2 linked regions of the Arabidopsis thaliana genome follow. The protein of the gene in region 1 purifies or fractionates together with the protein of each later gene. This does not show direct contact. Each region holds a gene or a part of one and is shown in the gene's direction. Other genes may lie near its edges.

Region 1 (9,496 bases):
TAGCTCAAAAGCCCAACAAATGGGTGAAAGATTCTAAATATTCGAAATCTTCTAAATCATTACCTTCTGGAGATGGGCAAAAGAAATGGAAAACTCTACAGCACAATGGTGTTATTTTTCCACCTCCATATAAGCGTCATGGGGTTAAGATATTGTTCCAGGGAAAGCCTGTTGACTTAACTCCTGAACAAGAAGAGGTCCGTCATTTTTTCTGCGTCTCTGTCCCATGATTGTATATTCGCTTACTTTCTGCAGCCGTTACTTTCATCTCATTTCCCAGAGTGTTTTTGCATCCTTTCTCTAGTCATGAGTGGTGAGCTGATAATATCGTCATTTCTATCTGCAGGTTGCAACTATGTTTGCGGTGATGAGGGAAACAGAATATTATAAAAAACCAAAGTTCAGAGAGAATTTCTGGAATGATTGGCGGAAACTACTTGGAAAGAACCATATGATTAAAAGTTTAGATGATTGTGACTTCACTCCCATATATGAATGGTATATGCAGGAGAAGGAGACAAAGAAACAAATGACTGCAGAAGTAAATAACAGTTTCTATAAGATAAAGTCCATGAGTACGCTCTTCTCATGAAGCTGTTGCTGATAATGTTATAATGCTAACGATGTACAGGAGAAAAGGATTGTGAAAGAGGAGAAATTAAAGCAGGAGGAGAAATATATGTGGGCTGTTCTTGATGGTGTCAGGGAGAGGGTAATTTCTTTTTTTGTTGTTGATAGAAATCTATTTCCAGCTTCTTAAAATTTGCTAACCATATTTTGCAACAATTCCAGATTGGAAATTTCAGAGTTGAGCCCCCTGGGTTGTTTCGAGGCCGGGGAGAACATCCCAAGGTTTATTTTTGCTGCAGTTTCTTACATTATCCTTAAACTATATTATTCTGTGTATGCTGTAGTATCATATTTACAACATTTTTCTTCTTTGTTCCCCCATCTTCCATAGTTATTTCTCATTTTAGTAATTTTCTCTTCTGCGTCATTATGTTCAAGATGGGGAAACTGAAAAAGCGGATTCGTCCTTGTGATATTACAATCAACATTGGTAAAGAGGCGCCTATTCCAGAATGCCCTATCCCTGGTGAAAGGTCTTGTTTTTATATGCTTCCCTTTGAAAAAGACACATGTTTTGTTTTTTCCTATGACCTGATTCTAAGAGTGCTGTTCTTTTTCAGATGGAAAGAAGTTAAGCATGACAATACTGTTACCTGGCTTGCTTTTTGGAGTGATCCTATCAATCCAAAAGAGTTCAAGTATGTATTCTTGGCAGCTAGCAGTTCGTTGAAGGGACAAAGCGACAAAGAGAAGTATGAGAAAGCGAGGAAGCTACATGTAATGAGCTTTTGATGCCGTTTAAAGCTTTTCTGGAAACCATCCTGCTTTCCCATTTCTTACCTAGCAACATACCATCTGTTTGCAGAACCATATAGGGAGTATTAGAGCAGCATACACCAAAGATTTTAATAACAAGGATGTAACAAAGCGGCAAATAGCAGTGGCAACATATCTCATCGATAAGCTAGCCCTTAGGGCTGGAAATGAGAAGGTAAGTTAACAAAGATTCTTCTTTAATTAAAGAGATCCTTCGTTCTATTCATTTTCTCATTGGTTTTGGCTTATAAGAGATCATTACTCCATAAGACCCGCTTCTTACTCATAATAGAACATGTTTCTGGAATTTCAAGCAATTCTCTCACATTTTCCTTTCTTATTTTTATTGTATAGGATGACGATGAGGCAGATACTGTTGGTTGTTGTACATTGAAAGTAGGAAACGTGGAGTGTATTCCTCCAAATAAGTTAAAGGTATACACTTGATCTCAACCTAAACAAAATTGACTGCAGAATGTATCTGCGAGAGTACTAAAATGCCTGGCTTATTGATTTGTTGAAGAAGGTTATTTTTTATTGCATATTATAGTGACTTATGGTATTCGCTTTGGCATTTTCAGTTTGACTTCCTTGGTAAAGACTCTATTCAGTATGTAAACACAGTTGAGGTTGAGCCTCTGGTGTATAAGGCAATTGGGCAGTTCCAAGCAGGTTAGTTAATAATTATGTAGGCTATCTAATCTTATAATTGACCTTTGGAAACTGGATAAATGACTTTTGGTTTCGTCTTCTATCCAGGAAAATCGAAAACCGATGATCTCTTTGATGAGCTAGATACTTCAAAACTCAATACTCATCTTAAGGAGCTTATGGCTGGTCTCACAGCCAAAGTATTCCGTACGTATAATGCATCCATCACATTGGATTTAATGGTATGTTTTCTATTACTCAGTTGTCACAATCCTAATGATATAGGTTTCTTAAGCCGTTTTGGATGATGTTATGACAGTTGAGTAAAGAAACCAGAGACGGTGACGTTCCTGAAAAAGTGGTGGTTTATCAGCAAGCGAACAAGGAGGTAATGACAATTATTCTCTCTGCTATTTTACAGATAAGAGAATATGATCATCTTATTCTTTTTTGTTAGGTTGCTATCATTTGTAACCATCAACGTACTGTCTCGAAATCTCACGGAGCACAAGTGGAGAAGCTGGCTGTGAAAATAGAAGAACTAAGGGTATAACATAAGCAAATCCTAGTTAAATATGATCAAGATACAATTTCAACTTTCTCACTCCCATAATCTTTGTACTTCTCTGCAGGAGCAAATAAAAGAGCTGAATATTGATCTCGACAGGGCTAAGAAAGGAAGAACACCGTTAATGGGATCTGATGGAAAGAGAAAGAGGAACTTAACACCTGAAGCGTAATATCTAAACCTCTCTTCATATACATTATTTATCGCATAAGCATCTCCTTTAAAACAACTCCCTCTTTGGAAAAACAGATTGGAGAAGAAGATAATGCAAACGCAAGGTAAGATCGAGAAGATGGAAAGAGATATGCAAACAAAAGAAGATATGAAAACTGTCGCATTGGGCACATCTAAGATCAACTACATGGATCCTAGGATCACTGTTGCGTGGTGCAAACGACATGATGTCCCCATTGAGAAGGTAATATGTAAAGAGCTTCAACAAAGTAACAGAATTGCAAACACTTGAAATTTACTTGTGTTTTGCTATTGCAGATATTTAACAAGTCTCTTCTGGCTAAGTTCGCTTGGGCAATGGATGTTGATCCTGAGTTCAGATTCTGTTCAAGTACCGATGAATAAATACATGTTCGTTGAGGCCAGTTTCACCTAACTACCATTCACCATACATTTACAGAGATATAGAGAGAAAGAGTTAAAAAGAGAAGAAGAATGATAGCAAGACCCTGTAAAAGAGGTTTCTTCTCTCTTATTAGTAAACCAAAGACTAATCTATGGATGTTTTATAGAAAAACAGTTACAATTTTTTACTCCAATAAATAAATAATTCAGGTTAATAATATTAAGAATTATACATAAAATGGTAGTACCTTTCTTTAATCTATATACTATGGATGATTAATAAGTTTATGCATTAAGTAATGAAAATTTTTAAGTTTTTTTTGTGACAAAATTCATTTTAACCTTTTTTAGTACTTGAAATAACTTTAATAATTTACAAATTAACTTTCAAATGGTTAAAAGTTTTGATGACACATTGTTTCGTATATCTAAATAGTATCTAAATGCTAAATTATCCGTTGATACGTAATTTTATCCCATAAGAATGTGGATATCCAAATGCTAAATTATCTATCGACACGTAAATTTTTCTGATAAAAAATCTTAAGAGCATCCAAACGTTAAATTATTTGATGATACATAATTTTATCGGATAAAAAATTGGATTTCTTTTTATTTCTGATTTTATCCCCTATTTTATTTACTTAAATATGCTTCACAATTTAGTAAATTAACCGATGAGTCAATGTTTAATCAATTTTTTCATCTTAAACCCAAAAATTAAGGGGATTTTGGCAATTAAAAAGTTTACGGTAATAAGAGTGAAAAAAATTGTCTATGGCGGTAAGATTAAACGATTTGGCGCGACTCAATACGACGTCGTAACGAAAACAAAACCCTCAAGGGGTGAACTCTCTAATCTAAAGAGAGTCTCCTTATGCCTTAGTCTCCTCGTCCTTAAAACGATAGAAACCATCGAAGCAGAAGAGAAGAGAGAACAGAGAGACGGAGGAGAGAGATAGGCTTCGCTAGACAATTTCTTCAATCTCTGGAAGAAGGTAGCTTCTTCAATCCAACGTCAAATCTCTGAAATTTGATTGTATTAAGCTTAATTTGCATCATTACCCAGTTATAGCACAAATTAGGGTTTCACATACGTAATTGGGGATTTGATATTTCAACTACACTGGATTCTTCAAATGTTGGTTCTTTGCTTTAAGATTCTCTATTTATGAATCTCAGTACTTCATTCTCTGTAGTGTAATCATTTTGTTGCTTGTAGTTGTAAACTTGTAATGGTGTTTGTTTGCCTTTCCTTGGGAAACTCTGACATTTCTTTGTGGTTTGTTTTGTGTCTTGGTCAGAAGTTGGTCTGAGCCTTCATCAACGTTGTTCTTTCGGGAATGGGCACTGAAACAGTTTCAAAACCTGTGATGGATAATGGGTCTGGAGACAGTGATGATGACAAGCCTTTAGCGTTCAAGAGGAATAATACAGTGGCTTCTAATTCGAATCAATCTAAATCCAATTCCCAGAGAAGCAAGGCAGTTCCTACCACCAAGGTATCACCTATGAGATCACCTGTGACTAGCCCAAATGGAACCACTCCTTCGAATAAAACTTCTATAGTGAAATCCTCTATGCCATCATCTTCTTCTAAGGCTTCACCAGCAAAGTCACCATTGCGGAATGATATGCCCTCTACTGTTAAGGATAGGAGCCAGTTACAGAAAGATCAGTCTGAATGTAAAATTGAGCATGAGGATTCTGAGGATGATAGACCTTTAAGTTCCATACTATCTGGAAATAAAGGGCCAACCTCTTCGCGGCAGGTTTCTTCACCGCAGCCAGAGAAAAAGAATAATGGTGATCGACCTCTTGATAGAGCAAGCAGAATTATAAAAGACGAGTCAGATGATGAAACTCCAATCTCGTCAATGTTTCGGAAGAAGATTGATAGTGGGATGTCAGGGGGCAACCAGCTCTCCAATGATGAAAAGAAACCTTTGGTTCAAAAGTTGCATCAGAATGGTTCCACAGTTAAGAATGAAGTGCCGAATGGTAAGGTATTAGGTAAGAGACCTCTGGAGAAGAATAGTTCTGCAGATCAATCTTCCTTGAAGAAGGCCAAAATATCAGCTTCACCTACTTCAGTGAAAATGAAACAAGATTCTGTCAAGAAAGAGATAGATGATAAGGGAAGGGTTTTGGTTTCACCAAAAATGAAAGCTAAACAGTTATCTACCAGAGAAGATGGAACTGATGATGATGATGATGATGATGTTCCGATATCCAAGAGATTCAAATCAGATTCCTCCAACAGTAACACATCATCTGCAAAGCCAAAAGCAGTAAAACTAAATTCTACTTCATCAGCTGCAAAGCCAAAAGCGAGAAATGTCGTTTCTCCTAGGTCCAGAGCAATGACCAAAAACACTAAGAAAGTAACGAAGGACTCAAAATATTCCACGTCTTCAAAATCATCACCTTCCTCTGGAGATGGGCAAAAGAAATGGACTACTTTGGTGCACAACGGTGTAATATTTCCACCGCCATACAAGCCTCATGGCATTAAGATTTTGTACAAGGGGAAACCTGTTGACCTAACTATTGAACAAGAAGAGGTTGTCCTCTCCATCCACGTCCTCAATCTTACTGATAAATGTTATATACCCGTTTCTTAATTGATTTTTCGTCCATCTCAATATCTAGAGTGCTTTCGTATGACATTCCAAGAAAGCATTATTATCCATGCTGATGCTATGTTGATGATATACAGGTTGCGACTATGTTTGCAGTGATGAGAGAGACAGATTATTATACTAAACCTCAATTTCGGGAGAATTTCTGGAATGACTGGCGAAGACTGCTTGGCAAGAAACATGTGATACAGAAGTTGGATGATTGTGACTTTACTCCCATATATGAGTGGCATTTGGAAGAGAAAGAGAAGAAGAAACAAATGAGCACAGAGGTAATTAAAAAAGAGAATTTTAAGTGTAATGGCTGACTATATTGGTGTCCCAGACCTATTTTTCTTTTTGTTAAAATTTTTCAAGGTGAGACTTATATCATAGTTTAATTGATGTGGTACAGGAGAAAAAAGCTTTGAAAGAGGAGAAAATGAAGCAAGAGGAGAAATATATGTGGGCTGTTGTTGATGGTGTCAAAGAGAAGGTAAATCTTCCCATAACGTTGTCATTTTCCCCAAAAGGGAGTTCCTCACTCAACTTCTGTTTATCTTTCAGATTGGTAATTTCAGAGTGGAACCGCCTGGCCTTTTCAGAGGCCGTGGAGAACATCCCAAGGTTAGTCATGTCTCCCAGAGACTAATTTTTGTAAACAACATACCTTGACGTTGCGGGTTTGGGTGGATTCAGTTGAGGCATGGTCTATTCTGTAATCTCTTTTAAAACCATCTACTGTCCGTCTTTCAGATGGGAAAACTAAAGAAGCGTATCCATCCATGCGAGATCACCTTAAATATCGGGAAAGGTGCTCCTATTCCAGAATGTCCAATTGCTGGTGAAAGGTCTTGTTTTTCCGTGATTTTCCTCTTAAATTTAAAAGCATCATATAATGATCTTTACTAAGCCATGGGAGCTGTGTGACTTTTCAGATGGAAAGAAGTAAAGCATGATAACACAGTCACCTGGCTAGCTTTCTGGGCTGATCCTATTAACCCAAAAGAATTCAAGTATGTATTTTTGGGAGCTGGCAGTTCTCTGAAAGGGCTGAGCGACAAAGAGAAGTACGAGAAAGCTAGGAATCTTACGGTAAGCAGCTTTCATTTTTATGAATCATGCTTACTCTTTCATTGTTTCTCGTTTTTAGCAATCGATTTGTTTTGACTGCAGGATCATATAGATAATATAAGAACAACATACACCAAGAATTTTACTGCCAAGGATGTTAAAATGAGGCAAATTGCTGTGGCGACATATCTCATTGATAAATTGGCGCTTAGGGCTGGAAATGAGAAGGTAGTTTTTGAACTAGTATATTGCAAGTTTAATGTAAAAGCAAATGATTTCTAACAGATAAATGGCTCGCAAACAACAAAATTTCTGAAGAAATCTCATATTTTCATTTTTTTTTGATTTGGTAGGATGATGATGAGGCCGACACTGTTGGTTGTTGTACTTTAAAAGTTGGAAATGTGGAGTGTATTCCTCCAAATAAAATAAAGGTATTAATTTCATCCTTAAAGTTTTACACTTGTCAAAGTGGATAACATGTGTTTAATCCTGGGCAGAAGACTTATAATCTCACACATTTCCCTCTTTCTAGTTTGATTTTCTTGGTAAGGATTCAATCCAGTATGTGAACACAGTCGAGGTTGAGCCTCTTGTTTACAAGGCCATTGGACAGTTCCAGGCGGGTGAGATATGGACTTGACATTGTATATCACAAATTATTTTACTGTTGTGACTGATTCAAATAACTTGCTTTTTTTTTTCCCCATCCAGGAAAATCCAAAACAGATGATCTTTTTGATGAGTTAGACACAAGTAAACTGAATGCTCATTTGAAGGAACTTGTGCCTGGTCTCACAGCTAAAGTATTCCGTACATATAATGCTTCCATCACTTTGGATGAAATGGTATGTTCAAAATCTTAGATCTTCTGGTTTCACATTAGATTTATGCTGCTATACAATTTAGTCATAGAAACCCAATTACAAGTATATATATTTCTTTACATTTTTTCACAACTTTGTTCCGTTTTGATGTGTGTAACAGCTGAGTCAAGAAACCAAAGATGGCGATGTTACTCAAAAAATAGTAGTTTATCAGAAAGCAAATAAGGAGGTAAAAGATTTGTTCATCCTCCTGGTGATTTCTTGTTTGGTACATAACCATGTGGCAGATTCATGAAATACTGGTTCACACTCTTTCAGGTTGCCATAATCTGCAATCATCAGCGTACTGTATCAAAGACACATGGTGCGCAAATTGAAAAATTGACTGCGAGAATAGAAGAACTCAAGGTACAAATCCTGTATAAACTCTTGAAAACTTTTTTGAAGTTCTCTGCTTTTCATCTGGATTCATTTAAAATGCCCTTCCGTTTGTTTGTTTTTTCTAAATCTGTAGGAGGTTCTTAAAGAGCTCAAAACTAATCTTGACCGGGCTAAAAAGGGAAAACCACCATTGGAAGGTTCTGATGGAAAGAAGATTAGAAGCTTAGAACCAAACGCGTAAAATAACTTTCCCTCTTACTTCTCAAAAGACTTCTCTAGATATCTATCTCGTTTTGAAGATCTACGTCCTTTGAATGCAGGTGGGAGAAGAAGATTGCTCAACAGAGTGCTAAGATCGAGAAAATGGAACGAGACATGCATACAAAAGAGGACTTGAAAACAGTGGCACTGGGCACGTCTAAGATCAACTACCTGGATCCTAGAATCACAGTTGCATGGTGCAAACGTCATGAAGTACCAATCGAAAAGGTAAAACTCTCAGGATGGGTCCCTTCTGAAGAAAAGAAACAAGTTTTTTCTTACCAACTCAGAAAATTGTTTCTTGTTATAGATATTCACCAAGTCTCTTTTGGAGAAGTTTGCGTGGGCAATGGATGTAGAACCCGAGTACAGATTCTCGCGCCGTTAGGTATAGAGAAGCTCTTCTCGGATGGAGCAAGTATTGGAGGGCAAAAGAGCTGAATGAGATAAGAGCAAAGAGAAAACCGGCCTTTCTTCTATTCATCTTCCTCCCTTGTTTAGAATTTTATTACCTTAGTGAGTAAAAAACATGAACATGTCAAGCTGTTTCATTAGTGTCTTTTTTAACATTACTATGACTCAAATGTTATGTTATTTGTAACATTACTATGATTAAAGAAATAGAAAATCCGAAGAAGAACAAAAACACTGTTCCCTCTGTTTGTCGTAAGATGTTTTAGCAAAAAAAATGTTTGCAAATGTGAAGTATTTCTCGTTTATCATTGATTAGAAGGATAATTTGAACATTTTACAATTTTATTATAAAATCATCGCATAGTGTATGTATATTCAATAGATATGAAATATAGAAAGCTTGTTTTGAACTTTAAAACGTGATTATTAAGACAAATCTGAATTAGGGTGTTTGGACTTTCATATTTGAAGAAAAGTTCGGTTTTTGCCTATTATGCCCTCACGAAAATCTCAAAAACTCACACGGATCCAAAATTCAGATTCACCGGATTCGCACGAAGAACATCATCGTCCTCCTCCAAAGAGGAGCTTTCATTTCCAAATCTGTGAGATCTCAGACACTTTCTCCTCTCCCGTATTGTTCGATCGCGTTGAGGTTATTGTACCCTAAATCACGTGTAATACTTATCGTCGCAGATAATTCTCTCACAGATCAGGATCAAACATGGGTTTCC
Region 2 (9,621 bases), on another chromosome or scaffold:
AAACTCTGAGTGAGGTTGACATTCTGGATGATGGTTATAGATGGCGCAAATATGGGCAGAAAGTCGTAAGGGGGAACCCAAATCCCAGGTTTGTACAGCATTAAAGCTTTTAACACCCCAAAAAATTCCTTGCTTTTTTCTCGAATGAACATACATAAACATAACTTGCGAGTTCAAAATGGTAGCTAGAACAGTTTAGTCCTTGTCTTCAGGACCTAGTTATTTGACATGTGCATAAAGTGTTGCTTCTTTTAGGAATTTGGTTTGGAATATGGAAGATAGTGATCTTAACAGACTCAACATGTGCGCAATGGAGATATTATGTTTCATGATGTTCCTCGGCCTTTTGTAGGAGCTACTACAAATGCACAGCTCATGGATGCCCAGTGAGAAAACACGTGGAGAGAGCATCACATGATCCAAAAGCTGTAATAACAACATACGAAGGCAAACACGATCATGATGTTCCCACTTCAAAGTCTAGCAGCAATCACGAAATCCAGCCTCGGTTCAGACCAGATGAAACAGACACCATCAGCCTCAATCTTGGTGTTGGAATCTCATCTGATGGACCTAACCACGCTTCCAACGAACATCAGCACCAGAATCAACAACTTGTCAACCAAACTCACCCAAATGGAGTCAATTTCAGGTTTGTTCATGCTAGTCCCATGTCATCCTACTATGCTAGCTTAAATAGCGGTATGAATCAGTACGGCCAGAGAGAAACAAAGAACGAGACTCAAAATGGTGACATCTCGTCCTTGAACAATTCATCTTACCCATATCCGCCCAACATGGGGAGAGTACAATCGGGTCCGTAAAACAAAAAGTAAGCAACATTATGTACGGGATCTTCTTAGGTTAGGAATGGGACGAGGCCTTGTTCTATATAATTCCTATTTCTTCACAGAGAGCTGATCTTGATTCAAACTATCTCCACCATATATATTTGTTTGTGTCACCTGTATTGAGTTCCAAAAATGTTATGTAAAAATACACAACAAGATGTTAATGCTTTTATTTAAACAAGAAACAGCAATATTACTACAAACTATTTCTTCTTCACCGTAATTAGATATGCTCCATGAAAGAAACACCACGACGGTACTTAAGCTACGTGGTCCTTAAGCAGACAATTACAACTGTTGCCCGTTTTTCAATAATAGTTTCTCAACTTTTAGTTCTAGACTTCTAGATTTGTCAAAAACTCATAATAATGAGATATAAATACTTCGACTAGGTGATTTACCATGGGACAATATTAAACTTTGTTCAATTATTTGGAAGGTTATACTATACAGTCTCTATACAAAATTAAGAGATTTGTGCAAGAAGTAGATTGGCAATTAAAACAGTAACCTTATTCTCTCTTACATGTATCTAGATTATTTGGTGGAAGTTACAATCTCTAATTTCATATTTAGAACTTTTTTTTTTCCGAAGCATTTACTGTTGTTAAAGACAAACATATTAGATTCTTTTAGATCATAGTACCCGTTAAGCAAATAAAAATTTTGTCGCTATCAAACTAATGACATTATAAGTCATTTATAATCATCGTCGTCAAAATAGTCTTGTTTTTTTCACCGGACCAGTGAATCATTTTCATCTTTTGCGGAAAGGTAAAAATCGGATTATCATGTTAATTTTTTTGCAAAAATTGACAACGCTATTTATGGTAGCGGATCGAATCCATCATAAAAAATATTTAAATATAAAATAACAAAATTTGTTAAAGTCACTTATACAATTCTATTCAATTAGATCATTTTACCTAATATAGCGTTGTTTAAATCAATTATAATTGAACATTCAACGAATTCGTTAAATTTCTTTAAAAAGAAGTACATTTTAAGAAAGAGTTTGTTTTAATCATTTGTTCAATCACATAAACTTAGCTTCCTTATCATAAAGAAGTAAAACAATTTCATTAATATTAAACCGATATAGCAATTATTACGTATCAATTTTATTTTTATCTGTTATATAGTAATTTTATAGATAATTTATTTACAAAACTATCATATCATTGAAAAATTACCAAATTAAATTTGTAGTTAAAAAAATATATTTTTCTATAGGTCACAAACATTGAATATGTTAACTTTTTTTGTCCAAAAACCTAATATAAAATCCTTGAAATATAAAGTCTAGGCTCGGTACCTGGTTCGGAACCGGACGTTAGGGTAGTTTATAGCGTCATCGATCCACGAGATGCATCAAACATAAAATCTGAACCGTTGATGAACTCTATTACAGCAATGAAATCGGACGGTAATGATTCATCCTAAGCCTGACGTGGCATTAAATTGTATTTAAAATCTGGCTTTGCGTCCGAATCCTTGAATTTCTCTCTCCTAAAAAACGCTATCAAAAAGAAAAACAAAAGCTATTTGTTCTGTTTTGTAAGAAAAAAAGTAGTTAGAGGAGAAAAAAAACTCAGTGCCGAGTCTTGTGATACTCTGAGGTGAGATTCCGAAGTCTTCTGCTTTAGAACCCTGTGGATACTCTGCTTAAATCTTTGTGAGCTTTTATGTTTTGAGCTTTGTTTGAATTCGCATGTTCTTTTGGTTCTTCTTTGTGTTTGTTTAAAGTTGCGATGAGAAGTTAGGGTTTCTCATGCGCTTCTTTTATTTGTGAATTTCGATGTTTTGATTATTTATTGTCTTTTTGATATCTGATGCTATTAAGTTGTTGACAAAATGCATGAATTTGACGTTGATTGACTTGATTTCGAGAGATTCAAGATGGGTTTGTGTTTTGTCTGAATCTGTGTGGTGTAAGCTCTGGAGATTTGTCTGAATGAAAGGGTGTTTTTTGGTTTCATTTGTCCATCTGGATCTTTGTTCTACTGAATGTATAAGAAGCGAGGATAAATGATGAACCTTCGAGATTTTGGTTTCTTAGTGACTTACGCGAAATTTCCATTTAGTTCTTCTTCTGCAGATCTAAAGTGGGATTAAGTGATAATTATGGATCAATAATGAGATCTAAATTAGATTTGTCTTATTGTTGACTAGCCAAGTTTTAGATGTTGTTTTCCTGGAATTAGTTTTTTTTCGCATATATGCTAAGTGTGAATTCAATGCGTTTTACATGTTCTTTATGTCAAGTTGTTCAATTTCTTTATAGAGAGCATTAATTTCTGCTATCGTAGCAATATTAATCCTCTGAACTGATTTCTCATTCACAGCCACAAGAAGTGTTTTTGGTGGAAGGATCTACTGAACTGGTTTGTAATATGGGGGAAGATACAAAGGCAACCATTGAGCCAACCGCAAACAAGACTACTTCTCTTGAAAAGCCATCAGAGGCTATGGCTGGAAAGGAGAATGCTGGGGGTAAGGAAACACAAGAACTGGCGAAAGATGAGGATATGGCTGAGCCAGACAATATGGAGATAGATGCTCAGATTAAGAAAGATGATGAAAAAGCTGAGACGGAAGATAAAGAGTCAGAGGTTAAGAAAAATGAAGACAATGCTGAGACTCAAAAAATGGAAGAGAAGGTTGAGGTCACCAAAGATGAGGGACAAGCAGAGGCTACCAACATGGATGAAGATGCCGATGGAAAGAAAGAGCAAACTGATGATGGTGTTTCAGTGGAAGATACTGTAATGAAGGAAAACGTGGAATCTAAAGACAATAACTATGCCAAAGATGATGAAAAAGAGACCAAAGAGACAGATATTACTGAGGCAGACCACAAAAAAGCTGGGAAGGAGGACATACAACATGAAGCTGACAAAGCAAATGGAACAAAAGATGGCAATACAGGAGACATCAAAGAGGAAGGGACACTGGTAGATGAAGACAAAGGGACAGATATGGATGAAAAAGTGGAGAATGGGGATGAAAATAAACAAGTGGAGAATGTTGAAGGAAAAGAAAAGGAAGATAAGGAAGAAAATAAAACAAAGGAAGTTGAGGCGGCAAAGGCTGAGGTGGATGAGTCAAAGGTAGAAGATGAAAAAGAAGGGAGTGAGGATGAGAACGACAATGAAAAAGTGGAGAGCAAAGATGCAAAGGAAGATGAGAAAGAGGAGACAAATGATGATAAAGAAGATGAAAAAGAAGAGAGCAAGGGTTCTAAAAAGCGTGGGAAAGGGACGAGTTCTGGAGGAAAGGTTCGCGAGAAGAATAAAACCGAGGAAGTAAAAAAGGATGCAGAGCCTAGGACTCCTTTCTCTGATCGCCCTGTGCGTGAGCGGAAATCTGTTGAGAGGCTTGTTGCATTGATTGATAAAGACTCCTCGAAAGAATTCCGTGTTGAAAAGGTTTGCCAAAACTTTCCTGAGCTGAGTAGAACTTTATTGCTAGATATGTTTATAATAATCCTTTGGATATTACAGGGGCGAGGTGCATATCTCAAAGATATTCCCAATGGTATGTTCATATTCTATCTATCTGTCCTTCAAGCATCTATCTCGAATTATCCTTGTGCTGAAAAGTCTTTTGTGTTAGCTTTCCAAGTTTACAGTTTGAGCCCCTTATTATCTTCAAGTGTGCGTAGCCTAAACGTTCTTTTGTTACGAGAATTCTATGTGCTGGATACTACTAGTTGTTAAATTGCATGTATACTATGGGTGGATTCTTTGATCTATACACTTTTCGGTTCTGGTTATGTGAATCTTCATTTGAATTTTTTTTCTTGGCATTGATCAATTCCAGCCGGCTCAGAAGCAAGATTTCTTGTAAACCAAAATCTAATAATCGCGACCTACCTAAAAAATACCTTTATTGTTCCATTTTTTCATCTTTTTATTTTTGTTTGAAGTTGAAATGAAGTAGATAACTTGAATGTTTCTTCTCTGTAGTTGCTAACAAGGTAATGAGGAAGAGGTCTGATGAAACTTTGAAGCTGCTTCACCCAATTCTATTTGGTGGGAGGAGAGGGAAGGTGAGCGTCTCTTTGGATCCTTTTGACATTATGCTGCTCCAATAGTCATACTTCTAAAATTGTCAATCATGGGCATACTCTTGTAGTTTGAGACCAGTGGTATGGACTCATGTGCTGTAGCAAGTCTGCTAATCATGTTTGTATGTATCTTATTCTTCTTGCTTTAACAGGCTGCTCAGATCAAGACAAACATATTGGGCTTCTCTGGTTTCGTTTGGCATGGAGATGAGGTGTGCAACATTACACATAATGAATGCTTTTACATATGCCTTTGCTTTGTATATAATTGTGGCTCTTTGGTATTTGCAGAAGAAAGCAAAAGAAAAAGTAAAAGAAAAGCTTGAGAAATGCACCAAAGAGAAACTGTGGGAGTTTTGTGATGTGTTGGACATACACATTACCAAGGCTACAACAAAGAAGGTCATTATGGTTATCAATTTCTAAGTTTTTGTTCTTGAGATTCATTTTTTTCCTCTGTGAATAGATACATGTGAAGGTTTAAATTTCTGTCTTTGTTGAGCAGCTTGATTAGCCATTTCTGGTTGTCCAAGTTTATGCTTATTCATTTCCCCATTTAATCGAATCTGGCAACTTCTTGTTGCATGCTTTTTCAACACAGGAAGATATTATTACAAAACTGTTTGAGTTTTTGGAGAAACCTCATGTGACAGGTGATGTGACCGGTGACACTACAGTTTCTGAGAAAGAGAAGGTAATGTGGTGTTGGGAAAGTTTTGTTTGCTTTAATAACTATTGTGCATCTTACATTCTTTAAAAACATTCTGTTGAAACAGTCAAGTAAGGGAGCAAAACGCAAGAGAACTCCCAAGAAAACTTCACCTACAGCTGGGAGTTCATCCTCCAAACGATCAGCAAAGGTAATGCATAGCTTAGAGCTGAGGGCTTGCTTGTTCATTAATCTTGTTATTAACTCTGAAAAGAACGTGTAATCTCAATGTAGCTTATTTGCAACTGTCCATCACTGGTCAACCCGTCAATGTTTCTGGCTAAGTATTTTAATCTGATTATATTATTCTGCACTTCCTTTGCAGAGCCAAAAAAAGTCTGAAGAAGCAACAAAAGTTGTCAAAAAGAGTTTAGCTCATTCTGATGATGAATCTGAAGAAGAGAAAGAAGAAGAAGAAAAACAAGAGGAGGAGAAGGCAGAAGAGAAAGAAGAGAAAAAAGAGGAGGAGAATGAAAATGGCATTCCTGATAAATCTGAGGATGAGGCGCCTCAGCCTTCTGAAAGCGAGGAGAAAGATGAATCTGAGGAGCATTCTGAAGAAGAAACTACAAAGAAGAAACGTGGTTCTAGATTGTCAGCTGGGAAGAAAGAATCAGCAGGGAGAGCCAGAAACAAGAAAGCAGTGGTCGCTGCAAAATCCAGTCCACCAGAGAAGATTACACAGAAGCGGTCATCAGCCAAACGAAAGAAGACTGATGATGACAGTGATACAAGTCCAAAGGCGTCCTCTAAGAGGAAGAAGTCTGAAAACCCTATCAAGGCCTCCCCGGCTCCTTCAAAGTCTGCATCAAAAGAGAAGCCAGGTTTGGTCATTATCCTGTTTTTTTCTTCCAGTAAGATGGTCGCTTAGGTAGAATAAAAACATGTTGGGTGTAGTGTATGTCAGATGCATTGGAGAATCTTATTCCTTATATCTTCATTTTCAGAAGCGAACCAATATACAACCACTAATGTTTTCTGACACCATGTTTATCTCTGTTTGTGTCTATATGCTAAAAGTAAAAAGGGCTGGAAAAGGGAAAGACAAGCCGAGTGATAAAGTGCTGAAAAATGCAATCGTTGAGATCTTGAAAAGAGTGGACTTTAGTACGGTGAGTAATTTCTCAACCTTTTATATGCGATACACTTAACTACTTGGGATGTGTGTGGAATAAAACAAAATTGGATTCTGCCGAACAAACTTATTGGTTACATGAAATAACCTTCGTTTTCTGAAAGCTGATTTGAAGTTTGTTGTGCAATATCTATTCAAACTGTGAATTTCCTTCTATACCTAGATAACCTAATAAGAGCATTGTTGTTCTTCTGCAGGCTACGTTCACGGACATCCTTAAAGAACTTGGTATGAACAGATTGGTTTCAGTCATTTGTTTTTCCAGTGATTCCTGGTTATATATAAAATAAACACATTGTTTCATCCATCTTTCAGCTAAGGAGTTCACAGAAGATCTCACTCCAAGAAAGTCATCTATAAAGATGATAATCCAAGAGGAGCTCACCAAATTAGCAGATGAGGAGGAGGAGGAGGAAAAGAAAGAAGAGGATTCAGAGAAGGAGGAAGCAGGAGGGTCTGGTGGTGGTGAGGAGGTGAAAGCCTAAACTCCTTTCTGATCACATCGCACATATTGAGTCTCTCTGTCAGATACTGTTGCCTAATGCCTAGTAGTCATCTGGCAAATGTGTAAGTTAAATCTGTGGATGTAATATTTTGTTGTTGGAGTCTGAACTGCGTAAAGCAGCTTTACTTTTGGTAGAGACAAGAGGAAGAAGCTGCATAGCCAAAGGATAGGTTGCTTGTATGTCTATAGCATTTAACATAAAAGCCTCCTTGGATTGTCTTTGATTTGTGAGGCTCCCTTTTCGAGACATTGTCAAGGTTTCTTTTGTTTATGTCTTTTGGTTTGAAGGAGGCCAATGGTAATAAATGAATAATATGTTTCTCTTGATTCCCTTTAAGACTTTGAATATTGCAGAAGGAATTTATGCTCATCTTGTATCCTTGATCTATCTCTAACATATCTGCAAATCTACCAACGCAAATCCAGTCTAAGAAATGTAGGAATTGGTACCTCATAAACATATACAACAAAGATTAACATTGATGAAGAAGAGAGTCTGTATTCTTACAGGACCAAAATATACAGAAAAGAATCTGTGCTCTTCTTCTACATCCCCTTTTCGGACAACCCAAACACAAGTTCCAAAAGAATGTAATTGCTGTTGTTACATTCAGAGTACCTAAATAGATTGCAATGGAGACACTGCAAATACATAGAATTCAAAGCAGATGGCTAAACATGGTTAACTATAAGCATAAGCAACACTTGTCCAGGCTTTTATCATTCTGGCTGCAGCTACTATTATCTTATTTGATGTACTAGATTCGAAAAGACCTGTCACACACACAAAGGCAAAAGTACCGGTCCGATTGCAAAATAGAATATCGATTAAGGAGTAAACCGGAATAAGAGTAACGGAATATACTTGACAGACCTCTCTCAGTAGAAGAATCACTGAGAAACTTTCACTTCTTCTTCGTCTCCGTAGTTTCAGTTTCGATCTGTAAAGTTTCAAACTTGTGGTCGAATTTTTAAATGGGAAGTGGAAGAGATAGAGACGACCCTTTATCCTTCACCAGCAATCCATCTACGGCGTCGTCTCCAGTCACTGTATCTGACTATCTCGACAACTTTCTCGGCGAACCCACTTCTCGCTCCGGTAGTTTTCAAAGCGAGAGCTTACTCGGTGGAGGCGGTGGAGAAAGCATCAACGACGCTGATTTTGGATTCGCTCGTCCTGATTTCCGATCGGAACAACTAGCTGGAACCGTACAGTTTTACGAGAGGCATGTCTTCTTGTGCTACAAAAAGCCATCTGTTTGGCCCGCAAGGATCGAGGCTGCTGAGTTCGATCGATTGCCTAGGCTACTCTCTGCTGCTGTATCGGCCAGAAAGGGTAGCATGAAGAAGGAGGTCAGCTTTTTACTCTACTATTTTCTGATTCCATTGATTCAGCTTGTTCGCTGTTAACTTGCATCTCCTGTTTCCAAGTATATTGCTTGATTCTCATAAATCTAGGTCTGATTGTTTCCAATAAGTCTCCCAAATAAGCAAAAAGCATTTGCGTTCACTTGTTTTGGCTTACTTAAAGTATCTGTTTAAGGTCGTAATGAGTCATAAAAACTCTTGCCTGGTGACTCTTGGGATTTCTGTATGGGTCAAATAAGGCAAAGTTTCTATTTTTGGCACGATTCTATGGCTAACAACATAATAACTTGTCTATTGGCTTCAAGATGGGATCTTAGGACTTGCACCTCCGTTTTTTGAGCTATGACAGTGGTGAACTTAAGTGGAAATGGTGTCTGTAATGGATTGCTTCTTTTCGGATAGTCTCATGATGATGCCTTCATGATTGTCTTTTGCTTTGTGCCTCATGTTTTTTTTTTTTTTTTTGGCCATTGTTTCGTAGACTCGACTCACAATATGTGAGGGGCATGATGGAACAGAGACATCCAATGGTGATGTACTTATTTTTCCTGATATGATCAGATACAGGTAAGGGGTGAAGTCTTCCTAGTTGGAGATTTCTTAGATTTGGTTTCGTTTTTTCTATCAACAGTTGGGACTTTTTTTTGACAGTTTTGATTTAACAAAAATTGCAGGAGATTGACTCACTTTGATGTGGAGACCTTTGTGGAAGAGGTGCTTGTGAAGGATGGTGAATGGCTGCCTGGAAATCCTGAATTGCTGAAAGGCTCATATGTCTTTGTATGTTCCCATGGATCCCGAGACCGGCGATGTGGGGTTTGTGGGCCGTCGCTAGTTAGTAGATTCAGAGAAGAACTTGAGTTCCATGGTCTTCAAGGTAAAGTGTCAATTAGCCCATGTTCTCACATAGGTGGTCACAAATACGCTGGGAATGTTATCATCTACCGATCAAACATCAACAGGGAAGTCACAGGACACTGGTGA

What was found. The genes of interacting proteins can lie anywhere in the genome.
Region 2: the proteins of TOP1ALPHA (region 1) and AT4G26630 purify together in Arabidopsis thaliana (affinity purification with western blotting; one study listed by BioGRID). This does not show direct contact.

What each region holds. Positions count from the first base shown.
Region 1 is NC_003076.8:22,424,077-22,433,572, reverse strand, and holds TOP1ALPHA (DNA topoisomerase I alpha), read left to right. Parts: upstream 1-4,070; 5' UTR 4,071-4,182; intron 4,183-4,488; 5' UTR 4,489-4,527; coding exon 4,528-5,748; intron 5,749-5,903; coding exon 5,904-6,098; intron 6,099-6,220; coding exon 6,221-6,301; intron 6,302-6,372; coding exon 6,373-6,432; intron 6,433-6,561; coding exon 6,562-6,656; intron 6,657-6,743; coding exon 6,744-6,900; intron 6,901-6,981; coding exon 6,982-7,107; intron 7,108-7,232; coding exon 7,233-7,313; intron 7,314-7,414; coding exon 7,415-7,505; intron 7,506-7,593; coding exon 7,594-7,727; intron 7,728-7,866; coding exon 7,867-7,935; intron 7,936-8,024; coding exon 8,025-8,114; intron 8,115-8,220; coding exon 8,221-8,324; intron 8,325-8,407; coding exon 8,408-8,576; intron 8,577-8,658; coding exon 8,659-8,714; coding exon of another isoform or gene 8,715-8,736; exon of another isoform or gene 8,737-8,799; coding exon 8,800-8,872; 3' UTR 8,873-8,996; downstream 8,997-9,496. Other genes in the region: TOP1BETA (DNA topoisomerase 1 beta), read left to right, coding at 1-197, 347-541, 632-712, 793-852, 1,009-1,103, 1,191-1,347, 1,436-1,561, 1,741-1,821 and 7 more; AT5G55290 (ATPase, V0 complex, subunit E), read left to right, coding at 9,487-9,496. UniProt on the Arabidopsis thaliana protein: Releases the supercoiling and torsional tension of DNA introduced during the DNA replication and transcription by transiently cleaving and rejoining one strand of the DNA duplex.
Region 2 is NC_003075.7:13,428,501-13,438,121, reverse strand, and holds AT4G26630 (DEK domain-containing chromatin associated protein), read left to right. Parts: upstream 1-2,351; 5' UTR 2,352-2,470; exon of another isoform or gene 2,471-2,526; intron 2,527-3,196; 5' UTR 3,197-3,244; coding exon 3,245-4,279; intron 4,280-4,354; coding exon 4,355-4,388; intron 4,389-4,819; coding exon 4,820-4,902; intron 4,903-5,072; coding exon 5,073-5,132; intron 5,133-5,211; coding exon 5,212-5,322; intron 5,323-5,521; coding exon 5,522-5,614; intron 5,615-5,696; coding exon 5,697-5,780; intron 5,781-5,954; coding exon 5,955-6,453; intron 6,454-6,649; coding exon 6,650-6,741; intron 6,742-6,961; coding exon 6,962-6,992; intron 6,993-7,079; coding exon 7,080-7,249; 3' UTR 7,250-7,717; downstream 7,718-9,621. Other genes in the region: WRKY20 (WRKY family transcription factor family protein), read left to right, coding at 1-88, 353-824; AT4G26620 (Sucrase/ferredoxin-like family protein), read left to right, coding at 8,245-8,622, 9,119-9,204, 9,312-9,617. UniProt on the Arabidopsis thaliana protein: Chromatin-associated protein which contributes to the modulation of chromatin structure (such as super-helical structure of DNA) and function.